3 linked regions of the Macaca fascicularis genome follow. The protein of the gene in region 3 interacts with the protein of the main gene of each other region in a pairwise test. Links are inferred from orthologs where the notes say so. Each region holds a gene or a part of one and is shown on either strand. Other genes may lie near its edges.

Region 1 (3,651 bases), about 28 Mb from region 3:
CTTGTAACATGCCCAAAATAGTTTTTTAAATGTTCCATATGTACTTGAGATGAATGTGCGTACTGCACTTGGATAGTGTTCCGCTATGTCTATTAATCATATTTAAATTTCCTATATCCTTTTGGAATTTTTATCTTATTCAATTAATTACTAAGAAAGTGATGTTGCAATCTTCCACTGCGATTTTGAATTTACATATTAATCTTCAAATTCTACCCATTTTGTGGTCTATATCTTGAAGTTATTAGGTTATTAGCAATGTTATTAGGTATGTATATATTTTGAATCAAACTTGCATGGCTATGTTACTAGGTATATAGTGCTAATATAGCAACACCAGGTTTCTTTAACTTAGTGTTTGCATAGTACATCTGTTTCCATCCTTCTACTTTCAGTCTTTTCTGTGTTGTCCTTAAAAGTTTAGGCATGGCCGGGCACGGTGGCTCACGCCTGTAATCCCAGCACTTTGGCAGGCCAAGGCGGGAGGATCACGAGGTCAGGAGATCGAGACCATCCTGGCTAACATGGTGAAACCCCGTCTCTACTAAAAATGCAAAGAATTAGCCGGGCGTGGCGGCGGGCGCCTGTAGTCCCAGCTACTTGGGAGGCTGAGGCAGGAGAATGGCGTGAACCCAGGAGGCGGAGCTTGCAGTGAGCCGAGATCGCGCCACTGCACTCCAGCCTGGGCGACTGAGCGAGACTCCGTCTCAAAAGAAAAAAAAAAAAAGTTTAGGCATTATTCTGTCTTATGGTTACTCCATTGAAGAGAATGTATCTTTTTTCCTCTGACTGCTGTTAAGTTTTTCTCTTCATTTTCCAGTTTTACTGTAGTGTGCATAGGTTTGGTTTCTGTTGTTTTTATTTTGATAAATAGAAAAGGTTTATAGTACTTTTGCAAAACCATGACTTAATGCCTTTTATCCATTTTGATAAATTCTCAGCTGTTATTTGTTCAAATACTGTGTCTGCCCCATTTTATGTTATACTCTGAAATCTTATCCCCTATGTCTATTATGACATTTTCTGTATTTTCTGTTTTCCTTTTGTCTCTTTCTGCCTCATTCTAGATATTTTCTTTTGACTCATGTCCTAGTGGATTAATACATGCTTGGAAATTCTGCCTCTAAGCTTTTAATCTGAAGAAGCAATCAGATATCTACGTAGGAGATTTATGTTCAAATATTTCTAGTAATACGGATTGTTTTAATAAATTGTAGTATATCTGTATAATACATTCCTATGTGGCAATAAAAATTATGATGTAGAATATTTAATAACATAGAAAGATGATATATAAAATAAGTGGCAAAACTAGGTTATAAAGCATTATATTATCTCAATTTTTAAAAATACACAGAAAAAGACAAAAAACATCAAAATATAAAGTTTTAGCTATGGATTATGAGATTATGACAAATTTTTAGTTTATTTTTGCTTCTCTGTATGATGCAAATTTTTGCAGTAAAAAATGTATTATTGTTATAAAGGGAACAAAAGTTATTTTTCAAACCCTGATTAAATTTCTAAAACTCGATTTTATCCAGAATACACCTCTTTGTAAAGAAATATGTGCTTATTCTGGACTTTGACAATGCTTGACTTAGACGTAGATATAACTAGTGAAAATTGGTCATGATTTTTTAAACATGGAGATAAACCCTTTAAATAAGAATCATGTTACAAAGGGACTCTTCACAAAAATTTCTTTACAAAGTATCTTTTTTTTTTTTTTTTTTTTTTTTCCTGTGTGTGGGTATGTGTGTGTTTGAAACAGAGTCTCACTCTGTTACCCAGGCTGGAGTGCAGTGGTGTGATCTCTGCTCACTGCAACAACCTCTGCCTCCCGGTTTGAAGCAGTTATTGTGCCTCAGCCTCCCAAGTAGCTGATGTGCCACCACACCAGCTAATTTTTGTATTTTAGTAGAGATGGGGTTTCACCATGTTGGCCAGGCTGATCTCGAAATCCTGACCTCAAGTAATCCACATGCCTCCGCCTCTCGAAGTGCTGGGAGGCATGAGCTACTGTGCCTGGCCACAAAGTTTCTTTAACTTGGGTATCAATAGCCTGGGCCTATGGTACAGCCACCAAAGACACCTACTAAAATATTTTTTCAGTGGTTTGAAGGCAGCTGCCACTACTGCTAAACACTTTAATTTTGTTTTCATTTCTCTATCACTTATTTTCTCTCCTCCCAGGCCCTCTTGACTTTTCCAGATATTTCTTACCCTCTTCCACATAATCTGTAGGTACCCTGTCTTATATTACCTTTTACATATCAAAACCCTCCCTCTTTCTACCTCTGACCCATATTACTTCCCCCACAAATCAAATTTCACCGCCTGGCACAATGGCACACGCCTGTAATCCCAGCACTTTGGGAGGCTGAGGCAGGCGGATCACCTGCGGTCAGAAGTTTGAGACCAGCCTGGTCACCATGGTGAAACATTATCTCTACTAAAAATACAAAAAATTAGCCAGGCATGGTGGCAGGCACCTGTAATCCCAGCTACTTGGGAGGCTGAGGCACGAGAATTGCTTGAACCCAGGGGGTGGATGTTGCAGTGAACCAAGATCATGCCTCTGCACTCCAGCCTGGGTGACAGACGGAGACCCCTGTCTCCAAAAAAAAAAAAAAAGGAAAAGAAAAGAAAAAAATCCATTTCACAATGTAATTTTTCTCAGCAAAGTATTAAAAGTCATTTATCTTATTAAAGGAGTCCTCTATAAAGTATAAAGAACAAATGATTAGGTTTTCTAGAATAATATGACTGCTAAGATATCAAATTAGTTAATACTAATAATATTATCTCGGCTGGGCGCGGTGCCTCACGCCCATAATCCTAACACTTTGGGAGGCCGAGGCGGGTGGATCACCTGAGGTCAGGAGTTCGAGACCAGCCTGACTAACATGGTGAAACCGTGATTCTACTAAAAATACAAAAAAATTAGCTAGCCATGGTGGCACCTGCCTGTAATCCCAGCTACTTGGGAAGCTGAGACAGGAGAATCAATTGAACCTGGGAGGCGGAGATTGCAGTGAGCTGAGATCGCACCATTGTACTCCAGCTTGGACAACAAGAGCAAAACTCTGTCTCAAAAAATAAAAAAAGTATTATCTCTTCTAGCTGTTGATTTAAGAAAAAAATAATTAGTTGTAAGCAAATAGCTTATACATTCTGGCTGACCAGAGTTCATGATTTATAAGTGGAAAAAAGACAGTATGGCAGAATTCATGAAAGCTTGGACTATAGATTCACCTTGCCTAGGTTCAAGTATCAGCCTTACTAATATGTGACTGAAAATTTTCAGCTATACTCTTTTACTACTTGTAACTTTTGAAAGATAAAACCCTATAAGGTAAACTTTAATATATTTCTCCTCCGATTTATATTTTTAGATTACGTGTGAAAATGAAGTTGTGCAAACCCAACCCCATGCTGATAATCCATCTAATACTGTCACTTCAGTACCTACTCACTGTGAAGAAGGCCCAGTGCATAAAAGTACACAAATTTCTTTGAAAAGGCCCCGTCACCGTAGTGTGGGTATGTTTTGACTCTTCAATGGATTAAGCAATTGAATCGATCTTTTGTATATTAAAGATATATGAAAAGCAAAGTCTAACTCATAGGTACTTATGCTTATTCTCT
Region 2 (3,751 bases), on a different chromosome or scaffold from region 3:
AGGCTGCAGTAAGCCGAGATCGTAAGCCGAGATCGCGCCACTGCACTCCAGCCTGGGCGACAGAACGAAACTCCGTCTCAAGAAAAAACAAAAAAATTACTGCAATGAACAGTCTCAGACTTTTATTTAATGCCACCCGGGGAGCTGCCCAAGACCCTCCTGTGGAGTACTCCTACACTACGTACTTCTAGAACTGTGAAGAACTTCTAGAACTACGTACTTCACAGAAGCAGATGGAGAACTGGGGAAGCTCACGCGACCACCATTACCTGCTTGCTTGCTTACTTATGGGCCTATGCCGCCTATTCTACAAAGTGAGCACGTGGAGAGGCAAGGACGATTCTTCTTTCACCTCAGTATTCCCACTGCATGACACAGAGCCCGGCTCGCTGGAACATTTGCTGAAGGACACCTTTTCCACGGATCCCCTCTGGACCCTCGAGCCTGGGCCCTCCTGTGCCCAGCCTCCAGCCCGGGCTATGCCCCTGGGTCCCCGCCCTTCCCTTCCTAGGCTCCGCCGGCCCCCTCAGGACCCCAGGCCCCTCAGACATTGCCCCTAGACGCCAGGTTCCTCAGCTGCCTTCGACCCAAGCCCTGCCTCACCCGCCCCTTCCGAATATGCCGCAAAGGCCACTCCGCTCCCGCACTCACTTGTCCTCGTTGTCTGACATGACACCCCCGCCTCAGGGACCCCGCTGCGTCCCAGTCCCGCACGGAGACCCGCAAATAGCGCCTCTACAACTCGCGGCGCCTCCCTTATCTTGCGCCTGCGCGGTAACCCAGAGGCAATCACTTCCGGGAGGCAGGCCAGAGAGGGGAAGTGCGCATGCGCTGACTCGTGAGTGCGCGTTTCTATGGTAGCCAGAGTCGCTAGCTGCCAGCTCCAGCAGCCCAGATCGCGTAGTATTTCTGCGTGGCACCGGTGCTGGTGCGGCTGTAAAGCAGTGGTCAGTGGTCACCGCCTCCGGGAGCCCACTTGTATGTGCAGAGGGGAGCACCCAGAGTGGGTCTTAGGGTGAAATTTCAATTTTGGCATATCACCCAGTGGGTACGGTTGTGACCATGGCTATATTAACACTCCCTTCCCGAGGGGACTTCCCTGCCACAGGCGCTGGGTCAGAATGAGCACTGTGTGTGTGTACCTGTCTGTGTCTGGGTGGGAGGTTTAGGCACTGTCGCAATATTAACTGGCGGCATCATTCTCTGGCTCGATCTCCGCTTCCAGACTTCTGGGGATGTTGGGCATGGGGGAACAGAGATTAGGAATAGGAGACAGGGGGTGTGTCATTGCGTCTTTCCCTCCTCAGGGTCCTCCCATGGCTTCACAGAAGCAGATGGAGGTAGTGACCAAAGGAACTGGGTTCCGGCGCCGCCCCAAGACGACCACTTACACCCCGGGGACCTGCGAGCTGCTCAGAGGTCAGTGCGTTAAAGCAGCGATCCCCAGCCTTTTTGGCACCAGGGACCGGTTTCGTGGAAGGAAATTTTTCCACTGACGGGAGTGTGGGAAATGGTTTCGGGATGAAACTGTTCACCTCAGATCATCAGATATTAGTTAGATTCTCATAAGAAAAGCGTGCAACCTAGATCCCTCGCGTGCGTAGTTCACAATAGGGTTCGCGCTCCTATGAGAATCTAAGGCCGCCACTGACCTGAAAGGAGGCGGTGAGGCTTGCTAGCCCGCCGCTAACCTCTTGCTGTGCGGCCCGGTTCCTAACAGGCCAGGGACTGGTACCAGTCCACTGACGGGAGGTTGGGGACCCCTGAGTTAAAGGATGAGAGAAGAATGGTGGTAGTTACCCTCTGTAACTGAGTTCCCCCGTACCTGACCTGTGGCTTAGCAATTGCTATTTTCCTTTACAGATAAGGAGCCTGGGGTTCAGAAAGCTTCAAAGTTCTACTGCATATGCCTTAGGCGGGGAGAGGAGGGGGAGGTTCAAGGTGCTACAGCTTGCCAAAAGTCAAAGAACTAAAGTTTTTAGAGTAGTTAACTCCTATGCATCCTTTAGATCACACTTTCAACTTTCCCGAGGAAGATCTCTCCTCCTTACCACCACAGTAGGATCAGCTGTTATGCACCCTCACACATTTTCCTTCACTGGGGTTAGCACAAGCTGTAGTCAGTTATTTATCTGCCTGCGGCCCAGGAGGCCTCACAGAATGCTTTGTCGTGCAGTGATGATGAAGGAATCCAAACTGACGAACATCCAGCAGCGCCACATCATGGACATCATGAAAAGTAAGGGGCAATCCACAGAGCCTTCCTGGCCAGAGGGGATCTGGGGCCACGTTCTTTTTTTTTTTTTTTTTTTTTTTTTTGAGACTGAGTCTTGCCCTGTTGCCCAGGCTGCAGTGTAGTGGCGCGATCTCGGCGCACTGCAAGCTCCACCTCCCGGGTTCACGCCATTCTCCTGCCTCAGCCTCCTGTGTAGCTGGGACTACAGGTGTCTGCCACCACACCCGGCTAATTTTTTGTATTTTCTAGTACAGACGGGGTTTCACTGTGTTAACCAGGATGGCCTCGATCTCCTGACCTTGTGATCTGCCCACCTTGGCCTCCCAAAGTGCTGGGATTACAGGTGTGAGCCACCGTGCCTGGCCTGGGGCCACATTCTTATTTTTTTTTTTAATTTTTTTTTTTTTTTTTTTTTTTTTTTTGGAGACGGAGTCTTGCTCTGTCGCCCAGGTTGGAGTGCAGTGGCCGGATCTCAGCTCACTGCAAGCTCCGCCTCCCGGGTCTATGCCATTCTCCTGCCTCAGCCTCCCGAGTAGCTGGGACTACAGGCGCCCGCCACCTCGCCCGGCTAGTTTTTTGTGTTTTTTAGTAGAGACGGGGTTTCACTGTGTTAGCCAGGATGGTCTCGATCTCCTGACCTCGTGATCCGCCCGTCTCGGCCTCCCAAAGTGCTGGGATTACAGGCTTGAGCCACCGCGCCCGGCCAGGGGGCCACATTCTTAATGCTTCTGCATGTTAAGGGAGAGAGGACCTCATATAAAAAAAAAAAAAACAGCTGGGCACGTGGCTCATGCCGGTAATTCCAACACTTTGGGAAGCCGAGGTGGGAGGATGGCTTGAGCCCAGGAGTTCAAGACCAGCCTGGGCAACACCGCAAGACCTTATCTCCACAAAAAAAATTTTTTTTTTGAGATGGAATCTCACTCTGTCACCCAGGCTGGAGTGCAGCGGCATGATCTCGGCTGACTACAACCTCCACCTCCTGGGTTCAAGCAATTCTCCTGCCTCAGCCTCCTGAGTAGCTGGGATTACAGGCATGCGCCACCACACCTGGCTTAATTTTTGTATTTTTAGTAGAGACGGGGTTTCACCATGTTGGCCAGGCTGGTCTCAAACTCCTGACCTCATGATCTGCCCGCCTCGGCCCCCCAAAGTGCTGGGATTCCAGGTGTCAGCCACCACACCCAGCCTCCAAAATTTTTTAAAATTAGCCAGGTGTGGTGGTGCACACCTGTAGTCCCAGCTACTCAGGAGGTTGAGGTGGGAGGATCACTTGACCCTGGGAGGTCAAGGCTGCAATGAGCTGTGATTGCACCACTGCACTCCAGCCGGGCAACTGAGGGGAACCTGCTCTCAAAATTAAAATAAAATAAAATAAAATAAAATAATAATAAAAAAAATAAAATATAAAATAAAATATAAAATAAAATAAAATATAAAAACAGGTCAGGCTGGGTGTGGGAGCTCACACCTGTAATCCCAACACTTTGGGAGGCCAAGACAGGCAGATCACCT
Region 3 (3,751 bases):
GGTTGACACTGCTGACACCTGTTCTCATTCGTTGTGTGTGGACACTGAACTCCGCCAAGCTTGGAATCTTCATGGTGCAGTTAAAAAGCCACCTGAGCTCCTGAAGGCCATGTCTCACCACTGGCAGCTGGGCAGAAGCCCAGCCTCTGTGTCTATAGCCTAGGCCTCTACCCCAGTAGCAGGCGGAGGGCCAGTATTGGTGCGTGAGCTTTAGGGAGCTGCTGCTCGTTTGGACTCCTGGATGTTGGAGGGATTACCCACTACTGATACCTGCAGAATGGACTGCAGAAAAGTCTCAAAAATAATGCCTTTATTCCTTCCCTCCTCAAGGAGGCAAAGAGTTGATTTATCTTTGTGAAGAGAAAACCCTTATCTAGGACACCCACAGGGTAGGGGTTGGGTGTGTGTACGGGAGTGTCTGAGGCCCAGTGTGTTTTTTAGGGGTTACCCCATGTAAAGCACCTACCGCTGTGCTTGAAATTCAGCAGCTGTCAAAGGTGCAATTTCAAGGGCAGGGAACCTTTGAGGATCTGGGCCCGACCCTGACCACGGCTGAGATTAGTTCCCAGGCCTGTTTTCCCGCAGGATTGTGGGCTCTCTGCTTCCTTAGTCGGAAGTGTTTTCAACTAATCAAATAAATGAATGAATGATGAATAAGAAAGACCGTGAGCCTGAGCCTTGCTCGTGTGGCCTCGCTTAAGGGGCGAGAGAAGGCGTGGCCTGTCCTGGCCTCTGGGATGGTTGGTGCTGGACCTCTGGGGACAGGGCGGGGCGGGAGGAGGCGGGGCCAGGCCTGGTCTCATAATGGGATGGGTGGTGCTGGACCTCTGGGGGCGGGGGCGGGGCTCTGGGGCGGGGCTGGACGGCTTGTTGCCGGAAACGAGCCATTGACGCTGTGGCCCGGAAGTGGAGCGGCTGTCGCAGTGCGGCTCCGGCAGTGGTGGCGGAGGCTTGTGTTTGCGGCCTTCGGCAAGCGACTGAGATGGCGAGCGCAACTGCACCTGCAGCCGCAGCCCCCACCCTGGCTCCACCTTTGCAGCAGCTCCGGCACTTGGCGGAGGAGCTGCGGTTGCTCCTGCCTCGAGTGCGGGGTGAGCTGACGGAGTTGGAACGCGCGACGGCAGGGGCGGGCTCGGGGAGAGGCCGGGATCGGGGAGAGGCCGGGCTCGGGGTCGCGGAGAGGGCGGGCGGGGGCGGCGGCGGCGGGGAGCCAGGCTCGGGCGAGGGAGGTAGGTCCGCTTACCTTAGCTTTTCCACTCGCCACCATTCGGCCCCCACACGCCACACCCGCAAGTCGGCGAAGCCCAGGAGACCACCGAGGAGTTTAATCGAGAGATGTTCTGGAGAAGACTCAGTGAGTGCGCCTCCTGTCCCGGCTCCCCTTGCCTCAGTTCCTTCAGCGTCCCGACCCCTTTCCCTCTCGCTCTCCCCCAGGGAGGGGACTGCCCTCCCCTGCTGCATCCTTTCTGTGAGATACCTTACCCACCTCAGCACCTGAGAGGGTAAACTAGAATTCTAACATCGACATTCGGGAGGTGTTTTTGAGAAGTCTGGGTCGGTAAGGGAACGCGTATCTTCCAAGTCCGTGCAGCGCTAATGTATTGGCACCTGCCTTCTCTTCGGCCACCCCCCAGATGAGGCAGCTGTGACAGTGTCAAGGGAAGCCACGACTCTGACCACAGTCTTCTCTCAGCTTCCACTGCCGTCTCCACAGGTGGGCTTCACTTTCCTGGAATCCTTGGGCTGCCGAGTTACACCTTAGGAATCCTCTAATTTTCTTTCCACCTTTTACACGCATGCCAGGAGATTTGTTTTCTTCGTCTGTCCAATGAGGTTACCGTTTTTTACTTCACAGGCTTGTTGTGAAGACCGAACTGCCAAGTGCATTTCCTGGCGCGGAGTAGGCAGGTCTTATAAATATTGGTTCAATCTGAAGTTCACCCTGGTGGTTTCTTTTCTGATAATTTTTTAAGCACTTTTTATGTGCTGGGTGTTTTCACATACTTGATGGCCATCTGACAGATGAGCAAGCAGGCTCAGAAGCTCAGGTTAAGATTTAAAAAAAAGCAGGGGAGCTAGAATTTAAATCAAGGTCTATCTGATGTCTAAGGTACACCTATTCTGTTATACTACATAATACCCTTTTTATATTATTTTTTATATTTAATCAGTAACCTATGCAGATAGTATAAAATTCAAAAGATATCAAAGTTAAGTGTGTTAAGTTTATCCTTCCATCCACTTTCTCATTTTTGTCTCCCCCAGTTCCTTTTGCATTATTCCACATACATTCTGTACATATATACATTCATAAACATTTATCTTGTATGTGTCAGCTTCTTTTTACACAAATGGTAAGATACCATAAACACTGTTCTGGACCTTCCTTTAAATAAATTAACAATAGAGCTTAGAAATCAACTCTTAGCAGCTAGTATAAAGTTGTTCCGTTCTTTGTAATGACTGCATGGTATTCAATAGACTAGATATAAACATAATTTAACCATACTCTATGTGGACATTTAAGCTGTTTCCAACTTAGAATTACTGCAAACAGTGTTGTGATGAATTACGTAATTCTGTGTATGTATGTATATCAGTAGAAAAAATTCCCAGAAGTGGAATTGCTAGAACAAAGAATTTATGCGTTTTAAATATTCCTTTATTATTAAACTAATGAAAGTAAACATGTTGGCTGTGACCACGTATGCTCTATGCTTAGTTTTTTCTAGAGCTGTGTATCCTTAATATGGGAGTAAGATTCTTTTAAAATGGCATATTCATTGCCTTATTTGATTTTCATAGTCAATAGTTTTAATTTCTCAGTCTACATATATAGGTGTTTGGAAAGAATATAGGTATCTTCTGCTGCATGTACCTACAGTGATAAACTCTCTCCTCCTCACATACCTTTGAGATTTTTTTTTTTTGAGGCAAAGTCTCACTCTGTCACTCAGGCTGAAGTGCAGTGGCACAGTCTCGGCTCACCGCATCCTCTGCCTATGCGGTTCGAGCAGTCCTCCTGCCTCAGCCTCTCGAGTAGCTGGAATTACAGGCACCCGCCACCATGCCTGGCTAATTTTTGTATTTTTAGTTGAGACGGGGTTTCACCGTGTTGGGCAGGCTAGTCTCGAACTCCTGACCTCAAGTGATCTGCCTACCTTGACCTCCCAAAGTGTAGGGATTACAGGCATGAGCCACCGTGCCTGGCCTACCTTTGAGATTTGTGATGAGGAAACAAGAGATGAATTGTATGACGGCACTTTAAAAGATTCATGGAAAATGGACTATTTCAAAAAGAATAGTTAATATTATCTTATTTTTCTTATCTGCTAACCCCTTTCTTTCAAATACACTTAGGACTTGCTGCTAAAACTCACTGCAAGTAAGATACCACAAGGAGGCAGCATAGAACTGATTTTCTATACATGCTCAGGACAGTAGTTTCACTCATAGATGAAAAATTAGAATTTGGATTTATTTGAAATATATACAAATATTCAAGTATATACATATATTCAAATAAATACATATGTGTATATATGTGTGTATATATACACATACATACACATGAATCATCATTGCCTTCTTGAGATCTCACCACTTTAGTCCTACTAAAAGATGGGTGGTTTTTTTTTGTTTGTTTTTTTAAAATTCCAATCTGCATGGAATGATACTTTAATAAAATTATGTGCTTGGATGTTGAATAAATGTCAAATTACCATAAAAGTTTCTAAACACTCTCAGTCAC

Evidence for each region.
Region 1: the proteins of CCNDBP1 (region 3) and THAP10 interact in binary tests that used the Homo sapiens proteins (3 or more experiments, as listed by UniProt). The two-hybrid records come from large-scale screens. The link is inferred for Macaca fascicularis from reciprocal best matches to the Homo sapiens genes CCNDBP1 and THAP10.
Region 2: the proteins of CCNDBP1 (region 3) and C10H22orf23 interact in binary tests that used the Homo sapiens proteins (3 or more experiments, as listed by UniProt). The two-hybrid records come from large-scale screens. The link is inferred for Macaca fascicularis from reciprocal best matches to the Homo sapiens genes CCNDBP1 and C22orf23.

Annotation. Positions count from the first base shown.
Region 1 is NC_088381.1:47,677,979-47,681,629, reverse strand, and holds part of THAP10 (THAP domain-containing protein 10), read left to right. Parts: intron 1-3,398; coding exon 3,399-3,546; intron 3,547-3,651.
Region 2 is NC_088384.1:13,668,764-13,672,514, forward strand, and holds the start of C10H22orf23 (UPF0193 protein EVG1), read left to right. Parts: upstream 1-840; 5' UTR 841-854; coding exon 855-947; exon of another isoform or gene 948-978; intron 979-1,307; coding exon 1,308-1,419; intron 1,420-2,176; coding exon 2,177-2,239; intron 2,240-3,751. Other genes in the region: POLR2F (DNA-directed RNA polymerases I, II, and III subunit RPABC2), read right to left, coding at 652-671.
Region 3 is NC_088381.1:19,780,325-19,784,075, forward strand, and holds the start of CCNDBP1 (cyclin-D1-binding protein 1), read left to right. Parts: upstream 1-982; coding exon 983-1,354; intron 1,355-1,634; coding exon of another isoform or gene 1,635-1,714; intron 1,715-3,751. Other genes in the region: TMEM62 (transmembrane protein 62), read left to right, coding at 1-104. UniProt on the Homo sapiens protein: May negatively regulate cell cycle progression. May act at least in part via inhibition of the cyclin-D1/CDK4 complex, thereby preventing phosphorylation of RB1 and blocking E2F-dependent transcription.